Linked DNA regions of Coturnix japonica. The protein of the gene in region 1 purifies or fractionates together with the protein of each later gene. This does not show direct contact. Links are inferred from orthologs where the notes say so. Each region holds a gene or a part of one and is shown in the gene's direction. Other genes may lie near its edges. The genes, in order: KDM5B, RB1 and PAX9.

Region 1 (4,730 bases):
TTGCAGGTGTTCTGTGACTCCACATCCCTGCTGCAGGCTCTGCTGGGCACAGCACAGTGAGCCACGGGGTGCACTGAGCCCGGCTGCTGGCATGGCTGGTCATTGCTTCCCATGTTGCTCATGGCTGCTTTAGCACCAGGTCTCATTTCCCTGCTGAAATAAAGGATGTGCAGCTTGTAACCCCAGCTCGTTTGTGCTGAGTGCACTGCAGGGACACATTGCATCGCAGGTGTCTTTCCCGGAGCAGAGCTCTCCCATTTCAGTAGTGCTGCGCATGTTATCTTCATTCTGTAATTAGTGATAATCAGATTGCTTTATAAGTAATAAATTACTGTCAAGTTCAGATCAAATCTAATGTAGTTCAGCAAAGCTGCCTGTTGCCAAACCACCAGCACGTGATCAGTGTCAAGAGATCTGAGAGATAAAGTTCCTTTATAGTCGTATTTACAAACAGCAGCGGCGGTTTGCAGGTATTTTGTTTTGGTGGTGATCCTCAGGTTTAATTGCTCGTGCTCTGGTTGCTCCCAAGTGTTTGCAGATGAGGAATGAGGAGCTGGAAGCTCTCCTGCTCTGTGCTCTGTGCAGGGCAGCCCCATTCACCTCCTACCCTGTTGATGAGGCACTTCTGTTTTCCCAGGACTGGCAGCCTCCATTTGCATGTGATGTTGATAAGCTTCACTTCACGCCAAGGATTCAGCGGCTCAATGAGTTGGAGGTAAGCTGTAAAGCCACACATTGCCATCTCTTTGGTTTTTTTCCCCTTTCATTATGTTTTTCGTTGCTATTGAGCTCTGTGTGACTTCAGCCAACAGCATTTGGTACCTCTGCACATCAGCTTGGAGTTAACACACAGAAATTTACGTGTTCCAGCAATTACATAAGGCATTCCAGCCATAAAAAGTGAAATTAATGCTCGTTAAAGGCACTTTTAAGTGGCTAAACTTAAATTCTCAACACTGTACCTTTTCTGCCCTCTTTTTGTGCATCTACAGCATCTTTTAGAAGTAGAAGAGATGAAACACATAGAGAGAGCTTTAAAAATAACAACCCGTGTGGAACAGTTAGAAAATGAGGTTGGTGCCAGATCTGTTTGTGAGCTCTTCCATTCAGTGCTGGCATCAACTCGGGCCTCAACAAGGCAGAGGTGGGAGCAGTGGGCAGGCAGGGGTGGCTGTGGCTGCACCAGTGCTGGGAAAGGGAAGCACAGCCTGCACGTGGCACGCTGCTCACTTGTTGTTTTCCAGGCCCAAACCCGAGTGAAGCTGAACTTCCTGGACCAGATTGCGAAGTTTTGGGAGCTCCAGGGCTGCACGCTGAAAATTCCACACGTGGAGAGGAAGATCTTGGATTTATTTCAGCTTAATAGGGTAAGGCTGCTAAAGGGGGAGCTCCCCTGGAGGTGGTGGTGTGATGTTGTGGCTTTCAGGAGTTGGGGCTGTATATGAGCTGGAAATGTGTTACTTTACTTAAGCTGGCTTAGATAATGTGATGAAATAATAGGAAATGTAATGGTGGGAGTTGTCACCTGGGCATGGGGATGAAATGAGATGTTCAGCTCTTCTGTGGTTGAACTTGGAAACAAACTGGTCAGGAAGAAACTTAAGTTTATACCAGGAAGAAGCTGCTGAACAACAATAGGTAGAAAATGCATTTCCATGAGGGGTAGGGGAGTGAAAAATCAGTCGCTTTTGAGATGGAGCCTTTAGACCTGTGGAGGAGACTGTGTGTCCTGATAGTGAGGGCTGGGATTCACCACCCCCAGGGATGGTTCTTTACCCTTCCTTTCATGTAGGGTAGTTCCTGTTTGGTTGGTTCTGAGCCCATTTCATGTTGCAGTGAGAAAAGTGGTTGTGGAGCAGGGGGAAAAATGCAGCCAGGCCATCCTGAGGAGTTGGCTGAGCTGCTGTTTGCTCGTCGCATGCAGTGCTGACTTGTCTGCTGAGCAATCCAAAGAAGGTTGCAATTCCTGACAAGGTGACATGCTCCAGTTACAGCTTCTACATAATCTTCATATCTTTTTATTTTAATTGATAGTTTTAGAGTCATAGGATGAGTTTTCTCTATTAAAGCAGTAACTCTGTTGTGTCTCTGTCTCCTTTCACCCTCACAGTGCGTTCCTTCAATGCCGATCACCTTAGTGTTAAACCTGCAGCTGTTTTGTTCTCTTTCAGCTAGTTGCAGAAGAAGGAGGGTTTGATGTCGTTTGCAAAGAGAGGAAATGGACCAAAATAGCCACGAGGATGGGATTTGCTCCTGGCAAGGCCGTGGGTTCACACATCCGTGCGCATTATGAGCGAATTCTCTATCCTTACAACTTATTCCAGTCTGGAGCCAGCCTGCTGGTAAGTGTGTTGTGTCTGAACTCAAATCCTATCCATGTCAGAGTGTCTCTGTTAATTTTGTGTCAACAGAGTCTTTCCAGCGCCCGCGTTTCATGCTTTACAGCATGCAGTTAATAGTGTGCAGTCTGTGGTGATGCTGCAAGCCATGTAAAGAGCCACAGGAAAGCTTGTAACCAAGAGTAATGTTTAGAGCTGCTGCTAAATGGGATTCCTCAAGGTAACCTCATGGCCACCAACTGGAATACAGCCTTCCTGTATTTCCTCTCTGTATCATACAGAGCCCCCCAGTAATGACTGTTCTTACCTCCAGTGTAATGGTTTTAGTGCTGTCTTCTGGGCTTTCCCTTTGTTGAGCTGTGCTCTCTCTTTGCTTGGACACTGCACTGAAACAAGGCAAATGTGGCCATTTGTTGCTTTCTTTCAGTGTTTCATCCTTACTTTGTTTAGGAAGAGCTGTTTGCCTTCTAGATATTTGCTTTCAAGGATCGTATGTCCTCAGTTACCAGAAGGAGTAGGAACCAGGAGGAGTAGTGAAGGTTCAGGTTTCACATGAGGGTGTAATTGGAGGCTCCAGACCTTAGAAGAGTGGTTAAATCCAGCAGCATTCTGCCTGCCATGGCGTTGCTCTCCTATTCTGTTCACTCCTTTTCATCTCTCCCATCTTCTGAAGCGCCATTTTTCCCTCTCTTCCCTCCCCATCTCTGTAATCTGTTTTTCAAAGTCCGACTTCTTTTGTTGTCTGCAGAGAATCCATCCCTGTTCTCTTATAGTTCCCATCCTCTTTTCTCTGCTGCTGATAGAGTTCTGGTAGGAGCAGGCTCCCAGCACTGGGATGTGGCTGCAGCAGGTTGGGTGGGCTGGTTCAGATAAAGAGACTCCTCCTTTCCTTACTATTTGTTCTCTCCTTTAAAAGCAGGATGGAGAGCAGGCAGCAGTGTGGCTGCACATCACCTTGCTGCTTCTTGTGTGCCAGCAGCACAACGTGGGGCACTGCCAGGGCTTCATGTGTGCAGCTGGGAGTGTAAAGCAGCAACTGCTGGAGGAGTGTTGGGGCTGCAGCTCAGGGTCAGAAATGGTTTGGAGTTTGGAAGTGCAGTTGTAGTTGCTGGGCAAGAAAAAGGGATTTTGAAACTTGTTCAAAGTGGGACTGTTAAAACTGTCACAAATATTGTTCCTATTAACTGAGCATAGTAAATATGAAGGCCCCGTTCTGCATTCTTTCACACAAGCCAACAAATTGCTCAGCACAAAGTTCTTAATAGGAGCAGGGAAAGAAGTGAAGCAATCGTATTTCCAATTGTGTCTCTGCAGTGTCTGCAGAAGCCGGATCTCACCAGTGACACGAAGGACAAGGAGTACAAACCCCACGACATCCCACAGAGGCAGTCGGTGCAGCCGTCTGAAAGCTGCCCTCCTGCTCGCCGTGCAAAGCGCCTGCGGGCCGAGGTGAGCTGTGTGAGCTGCCCCATCTGTGTGCTCCATGCTGACCCAGCTGGGAGGCATCACCCAAGTGGAGCTGACCCAGGGGTTAATGGCACGGCGTGTTGTTGTGATGCCGTTTGAGTTGGGTATCTCCCCAGTCATTAAAACATAGAACGGTTTGGGTTGAGGGGAGCTGGCAGTGGTGCAGCCCCAGCCCTGTGCAGAGCAGCTCTCACTACACTATCTGTTCCCAGCCTGTTCAGCCAGCCCTGCCCTCAGTGCAGGGGGAATCCCAATGCACACCAGTGGTAAATGGTGGTTTATGAAATAGAAACAGATGTAAATATCCATAGCTTTGTGAAGTGTGTGATGCTTGATAGAGGAAAAGAAGAAAATCCAAAACCAGAGCTCAGGCCAGGAGTTCTGAGGAGCTCCATCCATGGGTGGGCAGCCCTGAGTTGAAGGGGCAGCAAAGGTTTTCCCAAGCACAAATGCAAACCCAGAGTGTTCTATTTAAGGGTGTTATGGGCTTGTTCATTTTTCCTCTCTTAATTCCTTTTTTCTCTTCATCAGGCAACCAACATTAAGACTGAATCTGATTCTCCAGAGGCGAGAACTCATAATCTGAGACGCAGGATGGGATGTGCACCTCCAAAGTGTGAGAATGGTGAGCAGAGAGCAGTAGGGTCCTCTGCATTGCACAGACATGGTTTTAAAGCCAGGCTTTAATTCAGCAGTTGGAATGATCCAGCACTGGCTGACGCGGGTACTGCTGGTGTTCAGATGTTGCCTCGGTGTAACCAAAGCTGTGTGTGTTGGTGCTTTGCTGCCATCCTGAGATGGGGCAGCAGAGCAGCCGATGGATGTGGCTACACTGCTGGCACTGAGCACAGCGTGCATTGGGGGTGAAGTAAACAGAGAGCCCTGTGCAAAATGTAACATCCTATGGCAGTCTTAACAAGTAAT
Region 2 (4,730 bases), on another chromosome or scaffold:
ATCTTCAAAAAGAAATTTGCTGAAGCAGTTGGGCAGGGATGTGCTGAGATTGGCTCACAGGTAAGTAGCATTTTGATTATTACTTGTTATAAACTTGATGCTAGCTAATGTGTGACCTGACTTACTACTTTGTCTTCAGTGCAGATTAACAATAGAAAGTACTAATCTTTTCAAGGAATGGATATGCTTTTCTTTTAATGCTCTGTAAAGATAGCATTAACAAGTGGTTCTTGTTAATGCTATGCTAATACTAATGCAAGCAAAAACAAAAAAGCAAGCCAAAAAACATAGGATTCTTAATTTTTTTTCTTTCTTTTTTTTTTTTTTTTTTTTTTTTTCCCTCCTTTCTAATAGAGATACCAGCTTGGAGTACGGCTGTATTACAGAGTAATGGAGTCTATGCTGAAGTCGGTAAGTTTCGTACTGATAGCTGTGTACTGGCATTGCATTTTTGATGGCTGAAAATAATCAAAGCTTCATTTATATACCTCAGGAAGAAGAGCGTCTCTCAGTGCACAATTTTAGGTACGTACCAACCACTGATCATTATTACCTGTTATTTTATTTTTGGGATAAGTATTAATGATTTCGTTTTCCCTTTAGCAAACTTCTGAATGATAACATCTTCCACACATCTCTTCTGGCGTGTGCTCTTGAAATTGTCATGGCTACATATGGCAGTAAGTTGAATCCAAAGTGCTAAGGAGCACTGTTAGTGATTGCGAATTATTGCTATTTATTCTAATATGTAAAATGCAGTAAATAGCAAGGAAACTAGCAATGATTTAATAAATACCAAACATGTGAGAAGTGAAAGAATGTAATGCTCTTGGTAATCGTAATCTGCTTCCCTTACAGGAACTGCTTCACAAAGTGATGGTACCAGTACCGAAACAGACTTGTCTTTCCCGTGGATTCTCAATGTATTTGATTTAAAAGCTTTCGACTTCTACAAGGTGATTGAAAGTTTCATTAAAGTGGAGCCAAGCCTAACAAGGGACATGATAAAGCATCTAGAACGCTGTGAACATCGCATTATGGAATCTCTTGCTTGGCAATCTGTAAGTAATGTTTTAAAGCAGTTATTTGTCCTTGTATAACATGCAAATCTAGAAAAAAATACACCTAGATATATAAAAGAAGTTGAAGTCTTGCTGAGATGTGTTTCTGGCAAAGAGCTAAAGAAGATCTTTAGTGTGTCTTCAGGTTTTGGGAAGAAAGAGAGAGATCAGCTTAGCACTGCTGAATTATGTGCCAGCATCTTTCAATAGTCTGGCATGGATATTAAGAGTAGTAATGCCCATACACAGTATTTTGGTGCCAGTAGACAAGGCAGTACATTCTATGCACTTATCTCTAAACTTCATCTGGTTTTTAGTCCTGCTTGACTGTAAGGCATTGTGCATCTGATGTGATTGTTAATAGTATTTAAAATCCCAATTCTCATTGTAACTTGCACTGAAATTCCTTCAACTTTTTTGAATGGCATCAAAAGCATTCTGGCAGGTTGGGTTTTGTGTTTCAGGGTGAATCTTCGTAAGTCAACAGCTGTTTCTTTATACTGTGTATTAGTTATGTACCAAAAATGCTATTAATGGTACAAAACAGGAGACTATAAAGGCTGCTGACAGAATGACATGAAGTGACCATTTAAGAACCCATATGATATCTTGTAGATCTGGGAAATTTAAAGAACATTATATGGCATAACTAATATGATATTCTACTGTGAACCAAGTTTGTATATGATTTTGGTTAGATCTTGGTGAGATGCACATGCCTCTCTGCTGCTGAATGCATAGAATTTCTTTGAAAAAGACTGCCTGAAAGCACTTGAAGATTGAGAGCTTTGTACCAGAGCTTATAGTAGCAGAGAAGATGAAGAACTTTGCTCAAAATGTTTAAAGAATGCTTTGCTTATTTGAGAATTTTAATGCTTGGAGGGTAATGACAGAGATACAAATACTTAAATTTTACTCTCCACAAGCAGAAAATGGCTTCTGACACCTCATGCAGACTGGTTTGATTCCAGCTTAATCATGAGCAGGAAGGCTTTAATCTACCAATTTCTACTCAGTAATCCAAGCACAACATGCAGATAATCTGATTCAGATTTGGGCTTTCAGACTGGAGAATCCAAAACACAGTGTTTTCAGTATTGAATCTGTTGTCTTGAGTTGCCTGAGGTGTTTGGCACTGTCTTGGAGTGGCTTATGCAGCTTATTTCAGAGGCTGTCAGTAGGTATCTGTAGAATTGCAAAAGCACTTACTTTGTTCCCTTCTTATATAATGCTTGGCCTGTACTTAAAACACAGCTAAGCCAACATCCTCCTCCTTGATACAGGCAGGCTCATCACTAGAGGGCACAGCAGGGCTCTCAAAAATGGAGGGTAACGTGCTGACAGCCAGCTATGTGCTGGCTGCAACTGGACTGTTACTCTCCACAGTTACCCTGTGACTCTGTGGCCTCCTCATAGGAGGTCCTCCCTTCCCTCTAGAATTACTATTACAGTAAATAACTTACATAACTGACAGTTACTATGTTGTTAAGGCTAGCTGGTTAATTAACATTTAGATTTAGACTACCTCAAGTACTCGGGTGCAGTTTGGGTTTGTAAGAAATTAGTGTCCAAAGGACGGCTATAAAGATGGTGAAGGGTATGGAGGGCAAGTGGTCTGAGGGGCTGCTGAGGTCCCTTGGTGTGCTCAGCACAGAGCAGAGGAGCTGATGGAGGCCTGATGGTGGCTGCAGCTCCTCACAGGGAGCAGAGGGGCAGCGCTGAACTCTGCTCTGTGTGACAGCGACAGGGCCCGAGGGTAACAGTTAAGCAAAAGGAGGAAGTATTTCAGTGGTAGAAGTCTGCTAAAGGCTTTGGATTTCCTCAAAAGATTGAGCTAGTGAATGAGTGGGTGATTTATTGTATTCCTCTGTGGTTTATTCTCTGGATGCTGTCTCCATGTACTGATGTGCAAGATGAAAAAAGTATAATCTTAATTAGTAATTTCCTCAGTAAAGGGTATGTAAGTTGAGATGTGTACTTTGTAAATGTCTCTTATCTCCAGATGCTATAAGGGAGCAGAATGGGTAGGTAACTTATGCTTAGTTATAATGCATGTCTTACAAGTGATTGCAGGCAGAATGGTTCATTAGGAGGTTTGTCTGCTCTTGGGAAGTCAAGTGTATCGTCTGTGTTAATCCAGTTTTTCTTCCTTCTGCTGACTGCTTTTGGAAGCAAGACTATAATGTGAAATTTGAAGGGATGGGGAAATTGAAGGGAGAATAGCTGATTTTATTGTAGTTTTACTTGTTTTGAGAGTTTTCATAAGAATGCTTTACATAATTTCTCTGAAGATAAACTCATCTAAAGAGCTCATCTAACCCTTATCTGACACTGGAAGCTATATGCAGTAAACGTGAAAGACTGAAGATAATACATTGCTTCTTTGCTAGTCATCATGAATACGCTTATTGCTTTTTGCATTGCTAGTTGATTTAGTTGTCTGTACATGAGGAAGGAGATCAAACAGCTCTTTTCCATTAAGGAAAAAAGAAATCATAAAAACAACAAACCAAAAAACCCCACCCCCAAATAGTGGAAAAATATGGAAAACTCTTCCCAATAATACTTAATTCTGAAAAGGGGCAAATGTTGACACTAAGTCATGCAGAAAGTATGGCATTTTCTTTAGATCTTAAATGAACCCTGAAGTTAGAAGCCCCTTTTATCCCAGTAGAAGTTATCCACAAATGAATTTGTGCTGCTTCCAGATGCAGATTATATTCAGACCAATTTGCTACATATTTTTTATTCATAAAGTATACCGTACTATCTGTATATTTAACTGTAAAGCATTTGTACCTCATCTCATTGAAGTATTTAGGGTGCTACTTACATTTGGTAACTTGATTTAAAGGGCCTAAAATTACTTCAGACTCAAAAATAAAGGTGTCTGTACCCCTTGATTCATTTTCACCTTATTGATGATATAAGTACATTTTAAACCTTGGAATGGTTGGTCTGTTTCCTATGAGAAACACTTTTCTATCAGATCGATATCTCTTGTGGCCAGTTTAAAAAAGGAATTGTTTTGAATATCTCAGATTAAAGCTATATGAATGCATTCCTGGATCTTTGAGTTTCCCTTTGAGAAAGCCCTGTTAGCTGCTGCACTGCATGTTTCACATTGCTGCTGTCTGCAGTGAATTCAGAAGAACCAGGGAGGAAAATCCATCTGGTTGTGTTTCCTGGCTTCTCAGCCATGAACAGAGCAGTTTTATATTATATTTGGCATACCTGAAGTCATACTTTAGTGCATCTACGTAAGCATGAAGAGTCCAAAGGGTATTCCTAGCAGGACCATGGTTTTATAAAGTTACCTGGTAGCTTCTGTGGTTAACAGACATGGGAGACCGCTGGATCGCCCTCTGCAGCCCACAGCAGCCCAGAGGGAATGGGGAAGCTTATCCCTGCAGCCTTGTGAGCTGGGCTAAATGGAGTTCACTCTCAGTCTCATTTTGAGTGCTAGGTTTTGTTTTGTTGTGCATGAGACAGATGAACTGAAGCAGTGCACTGCGCTATAGGTGGTGACACCATAAACCTCTTTAAAGGTTTCTCTTACCAGGTTGTTCCTCTTAAGAGTTAAAATAAAATCCGAAATAGGATAGTGAACTTGATGGTGTGCTGCCAGTCAACAACTGAACAACTGAATTCCTCCATGTGGAATGAGAG
Region 3 (5,342 bases), on another chromosome or scaffold:
ACACTGAGTCCAGGAGTCGCGGGGCCGGGCTGGAACCGAGAGGATGCGTGGAGCTCAGCCCCGGTTTCACACCGTCGGGCTCTGGGAGGGGGGCAGCGGGAGGTAATGGGTCCAGGGCCCGGCGGCAGCGGCGAGGGAGCGGCCGGGGCTCCCGGTTGCTGTCCTTTGGGGAGGGCACACTGCTAATGCAGGTCGGCAGGCTCACGAACACGCACTCCTCTCCTTTGTTAAATTAAGTAATTAATTTAATTAAATGTTGGATCCGGGTCCCGCTAATTCAGCGCCTCCTGCCCTAAAACTAGTCGCGGCGGGTCAGGTCACCGCGCCGAGCTGCAGAGAATGAACGCGATCGCTTTCGGGTTGTTGAACTGGTATGTGCGTGTGTCAGTGCGGGGGACCCCTTCAGCAGAGGTGATGGGTCTGACTTTCGGAAGCGCACCATTTACGCATGTGGTGTTCCGAAGGTGCCCCTCGTGTTCCTGAAACAAACACAAAACTGCCATAGGAAATGGTTGAGTTGAATACCCGAAGAATGAACAGAAGGACACGCGAATATTCCGATCAAATGGAGAGAGATGCAAAATAACCGCGTTCGTCTTCTTTTCTCCACAAAACGTCTGCAACACACCAGGATTTTCTGGGAGATCCCCGTAGCATCGTCCCTATTTCTGACTGTGCGTTATGTGAAGGCTCTGCAATCTAGCTCGATTATTATTATTATTATTATTAATAATAATAATATTTGAAGTATCTTACAAAGATTTCATGTAATAAGGAGCGTTCATACACACCAGAGACGTTAGATCCGTATTTCAGTCGCCGATATTCCGTGCGCTGCCATCACCGTATCATTTCCATTCTCACGTTTTACTCCCTTTGTCGGACCTGGGTCTTTGGGAGCCTATGAAAAGAAACAAACAAAAACACTCAGGAAAAAAAAGTGAAAGAAATTACGGTAACTTCTTGGTCGAGGTTGGGAAGCCCGTGATTTGCAACAGACGTTGGATGCATGAGAGAAGCACATAGAGTGGGATCCGCGCACCCACTGCCAAACCAAACACGCCGTGACCCACGCACGCTCTAATTCCTACCAGCCTTGTCTGTTTTTCTTTTAACCGTTAATACGGAGCAGTGTCCTTGATAAAGTCGGAATGGGCTGCAGGACGAGTAGTTCAGCGCAGTGTATCGTTTGGCGAGGCGATTAAACCAAAACTCGGGGGTGTTCGGGCCGCGGGGATATACCGGGGGCCCCCGGCCCATCTCGTCTCGAGGCTGCAGCTGAATTCCCGACAGCTTCGTGGCTTGCACCAAAAATAATGTAACCGCCGCCGTTTGCCACCCTCTCCTGCACCACCCGTGATATGTTCAGTAGTCAAAAAGTGCTTTACTGTAAAGAGGGCTGAAAACAAAGACCTACTCTGCCAGATCAGCAGAGCAAAGACAGGAGAGCCGTATGCGTTCCCAGGCACCGTCCGCTTTCTACGCAGCCGCTTTCTGGGGCTGGGGAACCCGCGGAACGCCGGGCCCAGCCCCGACGCCCCTCACAGCGGTGCCCAGTACAATACCGGCTCCGCTCCCTAATTGCGCTAATTTCTCTTCGCGTGCGGCTTACCGCCTGGCAGGTATTAGGCGGGCGTTGCTGTTGCGGTAGGGACCAGGTGCTGAGCACGTCCGCGAGAGGCAGCGGAAGGGCCGCCGGCCCAGCGCTGTCCGTCATCTCCCGCGGCCACTGGCGGGGCTGCAGGGCCGCCGGGCCGCCCCCGGGGGCGGGCTCGGGAGCGGGGGGCTGCGGCTCCCGGCCCAGCCCGGCCCTGCCCACGTTGCCCTGAGGTTGAAATGCAGAACTCAAAGCTCTCTCGCCGGGAAGTAGATTTCCTCGTAGTCTTTTTTTTCTCGCCCCCCTGCCATCTCCTCGGAGGAAAGCAGGGAGTCCGGCGGGCGAGCGCGGCCGGGGCAGCGGGAGGTCGGGAGCCAGGGGCTGCGGTGGGGATTTAGGGCGGCCCCGGAGGTGTCCCGCTCGGAGGAATGGGTGAGTGCTGGGATCTTCGGGGGGCTGTCAAGGGAGAGGGAGACTCATACCCGCGCCGTCATGTGCCACCGCGGCTCCTTATTGACTTTATTCGTGTTTCTACACGTCGGGACAGCGCGCCGAGGGGCAGAGCGGGGAGGAGGAAAAGCTAATGACTGCTTGGTTTATTATTAATGTTATTATGCGGCCGTGAGGCAGGATCGCGGCAGAGTGGATGGCCGCAACCTGTGGCACGTTGTATATTATTCCTGACACCGATCGGAGCAGTTAACGTTTTAGCACGTTTGTTTTACAGCCGTCTGTAATCGTGCTGGTAAACGCGAGCAGCCCCAGAACTGCTCGGTACAACGCGGGGCGCGGGCGGTGCTGCAGGAGCAGCGCTGCCACCGCCTCTCCCTGATCTAAAAGAATTTCCTCAACTACTTTTCCTTCCTTCCCCTCCCCCATGTCTCTGAAAATGTTTTTCTTTTCTCTTTCTTTTTCTTTTCTTCGTGTTCCTCTTCCTGTGACAACAGAGCTGAACTTTCTGTCAGGGCGATCTCATTTTTTCATCTCTGGAATGTGCTTCCTTGGAATATGCTCGGTGCACGATTCGGAGAAATCCGACATTTGTTGCCACGGTATTCTTTTCTGGTGTTTTAGTATTATTTTTTTTTCTTCACTTTCTGTTCCTCTTTTTTCTTTCTCCCTCCCTCTCCCCCCCTTTTGTTTTAATTTCGGTGATATTCTGCTATTTGGGAACTCCGTGTCTGGGCGGTCGTTGCGCGATGACATCGGCCCATGAAAGCCCTCCGGAGCACAGCGCAGTGTCCGACGGCCGTGTTTGTGCTTGCTTGCAGAACCCGCCTTCGGGGAGGTGAACCAGCTCGGGGGGGTGTTCGTCAACGGGAGGCCCCTGCCCGACGCCATCCGGCTGCGGATCGTGGAACTGGCACAGCTGGGGATCAGGCCGTGCGACATCAGCCGTCAGCTCCGTGTTTCCCACGGCTGTGTTAGCAAAATCTTGGCTCGCTACAACGAGACCGGCTCCATCCTACCGGGGGCTATCGGAGGCAGCAAGCCGCGGGTCACCACCCCCACGGTGGTTAAACATATCCGGACCTACAAACAAAGGGATCCGGGCATCTTCGCCTGGGAGATTCGGGATCGCCTGCTGGCCGACGGCGTGTGCGACAAGTACAACGTGCCGTCGGTCAGCTCCATCAGCCGCATCCTCCGCAACAAGATCGGGAACCTGTCCCAGCAGGGCCACTACGAGTCCTACAAGCAGCACCAGCCGCCCCCGCAGCCCGCCCTGCCCTACAACCACATCTACTCCTACCCCAGCCCCATCGCTGCCGCGGGAGCCAAGGTGCCCACGCCGCCAGGAGTGCCTGCCATCCCTGGCACCATGGCCATGCCCCGCACCTGGCCCTCGTCCCACTCGGTGACTGACATCCTGGGCATCCGCTCCATCACGGACCAAGGTGAGGAGGGGACCCGAGGGTAGCGAGCTCTGCAGCGTCCCAGCTAGAGCCGGACACTGAGCTTCTGCGGGACATGCCCAATGATTAGGATGCAGCCAATGTTCGGGAGTGCTGCGGGTGTGATGGCAAACATCGGCCGTCTCCGGTGGCACCAGGGCCAAGCTGTACCAATTGTGGCCGCAGGGAGCGACCCGGGCCGCGCTCGGTGCCAGTGCCGGTGCGGCCGGCGGGTTCTCTGCCTCCGTCGGGCCGTAGGCGCCACCTCGGCGTTACCGAGCAGTCCGTTCTCTCTGCTTTTCGCAATCAGGCCAAATACGCTCAGGCAGGAAGTTCAAATGTCACCTAATTGCCTTAATTCTGATGCTGTATTTTCCTTCGAAGCGGTGGTCCGGGAAAACGAAACCCCGAAGGTTTGCTCTCTGTATCCCTTCCACCTTCTTTCTGTTTCTTCGTCTGGGAACCGCGTCGCGTCCCCCGGCCGTTCACTGCGCTTTGCCGCCGGGAAAGGGACATTTTTTCCATGTCAGTTAGTGCCAGGCGGCTGCTGTAGTTCCAGCAACAGTCGGGAAGAACCGCCGCCTCCAGCGCTCCCCGCGTCCCGCTCTGCCCTCCCAGTGAGCGGAGGGGGGAGGGGGGAAGTTGTCTTCTCATTGCGTTTTTTAACGGCAGCAGTCCGGTTCCAGAAGCACTTCTAATTCGAAGTGCTCCTTTATGTATTGCAGGTTAATTATCTTATTCCGACTTTGAGAAAACATTCCTCCCCCCTACCCCCCCCCCCGCAGGCAATACACAAGCACATAACTCTTATTTAGAAGTACACCCGAATAGTGTTTTTGCACTTATTCGCCCTCTGCTTTATGAACTGCTTCTGTACTCAGCGCTGCCACAAACAGATGTGTCTGAGTCGGCCTTAACAACACCCTCCTGACAGCGCTTGCTCTGGGCCGTGTGGAGGTGATGTTGGTAGTAAGCATTAAAGAAATGCAAACTGTACGATCACACTCGAGTCAAAATTGTGTAGCGAGCCCTCCTATTCCTGCCTCCAGCAGACACAGGCCTCTGCCCGCACGGCCGCCTCTCGCCCTCCCCGTCTCTCACAGCGGAGCCGCACGCGTCTTTCCGCGGTGTAACCCTCCCCCCTCCTTCCCAGCGCCGGGCTGGGGCTGCCGAGCAGCCGTTGGAGCCGATGGGGGCTGTTCGCCCTTGATTTATAGGATAAACTGACCTCTCTGACACGGAAAGGAAGCCCCTATTCATGGGAAAGTGTGAGATCAGCAGAAAAGGGCACTCACCGAGAGGGCTCAGTTTCTCAAGCCAGCCTCAGGTTGGTGCCCCTCCAGTGTCCAAAGGGCTTCTCAGAGCCACTCGCAGTGCGGGTGCGGCCCCGCACGCTACTCCGCTGGGGGGGGGGGGGGGGTCGTTGGGAGAGCAAGCACAGCCCGGGTCTCCGTGCCACGCCTGCTGCACGTAAAGGATAGGGCACTTTTCTCCTTTTTCCACCCTTTCCATTTGTTTTTCTTTTATTTTCTTCCCTTTAAGATCTCTCTCTCTCTCTCTCTTTTTTTTTTTTTTTTTTTTCTTTTTCTTTTGTGGTTTGTCTGTTTGCTTTGTCTTAAGTTTTGGTCCTCAGTGTATTTAGAACCCTGTGCGTTAGGTGGCCGCTCCAACTTTCCTTCTACAGCGGGCTGCATTTTGTCCACGGCCACACATAGGCGGCGATTCCTGTCAGTCTCTCTGGCAGAGTCCGGGGAGGTCAAGCACCGGGCCGAGCCAGCTCCGGGCCTGGTGGCAGGATGCTCTGCTAACCGACTGCTTGGAGGGATGGGAGGCACAGCTGCCTCCCCCTC

What was found.
Region 2: the proteins of KDM5B (region 1) and RB1 purify together in Homo sapiens (affinity purification with western blotting; 3 studies listed by BioGRID). This does not show direct contact. The link is inferred for Coturnix japonica from reciprocal best matches to the Homo sapiens genes KDM5B and RB1.
Region 3: the proteins of KDM5B (region 1) and PAX9 purify together in Homo sapiens (affinity purification with western blotting, with the first as the bait; 3 studies listed by BioGRID). This does not show direct contact. The link is inferred for Coturnix japonica from reciprocal best matches to the Homo sapiens genes KDM5B and PAX9.

The regions. Positions count from the first base shown.
Region 1 is NC_029541.1:934,464-939,193, forward strand, and holds part of KDM5B (lysine-specific demethylase 5B), read left to right. Parts: intron 1-637; coding exon 638-715; intron 716-1,244; coding exon 1,245-1,367; intron 1,368-2,171; coding exon 2,172-2,342; intron 2,343-3,653; coding exon 3,654-3,788; intron 3,789-4,337; coding exon 4,338-4,431; intron 4,432-4,730. UniProt on the Homo sapiens protein: Histone demethylase that demethylates 'Lys-4' of histone H3, thereby playing a central role in histone code. Does not demethylate histone H3 'Lys-9' or H3 'Lys-27'. Demethylates trimethylated, dimethylated and monomethylated H3 'Lys-4'.
Region 2 is NC_029516.1:151,039,471-151,044,200, forward strand, and holds part of RB1 (retinoblastoma-associated protein), read left to right. Parts: coding exon 1-60; intron 61-354; coding exon 355-411; intron 412-493; coding exon 494-525; intron 526-603; coding exon 604-680; intron 681-858; coding exon 859-1,061; intron 1,062-4,730. UniProt on the Homo sapiens protein: Tumor suppressor that is a key regulator of the G1/S transition of the cell cycle. The hypophosphorylated form binds transcription regulators of the E2F family, preventing transcription of E2F-responsive genes.
Region 3 is NC_029520.1:33,284,468-33,289,809, forward strand, and holds the start of PAX9 (paired box protein Pax-9), read left to right. Parts: upstream 1-1,828; 5' UTR 1,829-2,025; coding exon 2,026-2,029; intron 2,030-2,868; coding exon 2,869-3,495; intron 3,496-4,787; exon of another isoform or gene 4,788-4,874; intron 4,875-5,342. UniProt on the Homo sapiens protein: Transcription factor required for normal development of thymus, parathyroid glands, ultimobranchial bodies, teeth, skeletal elements of skull and larynx as well as distal limbs.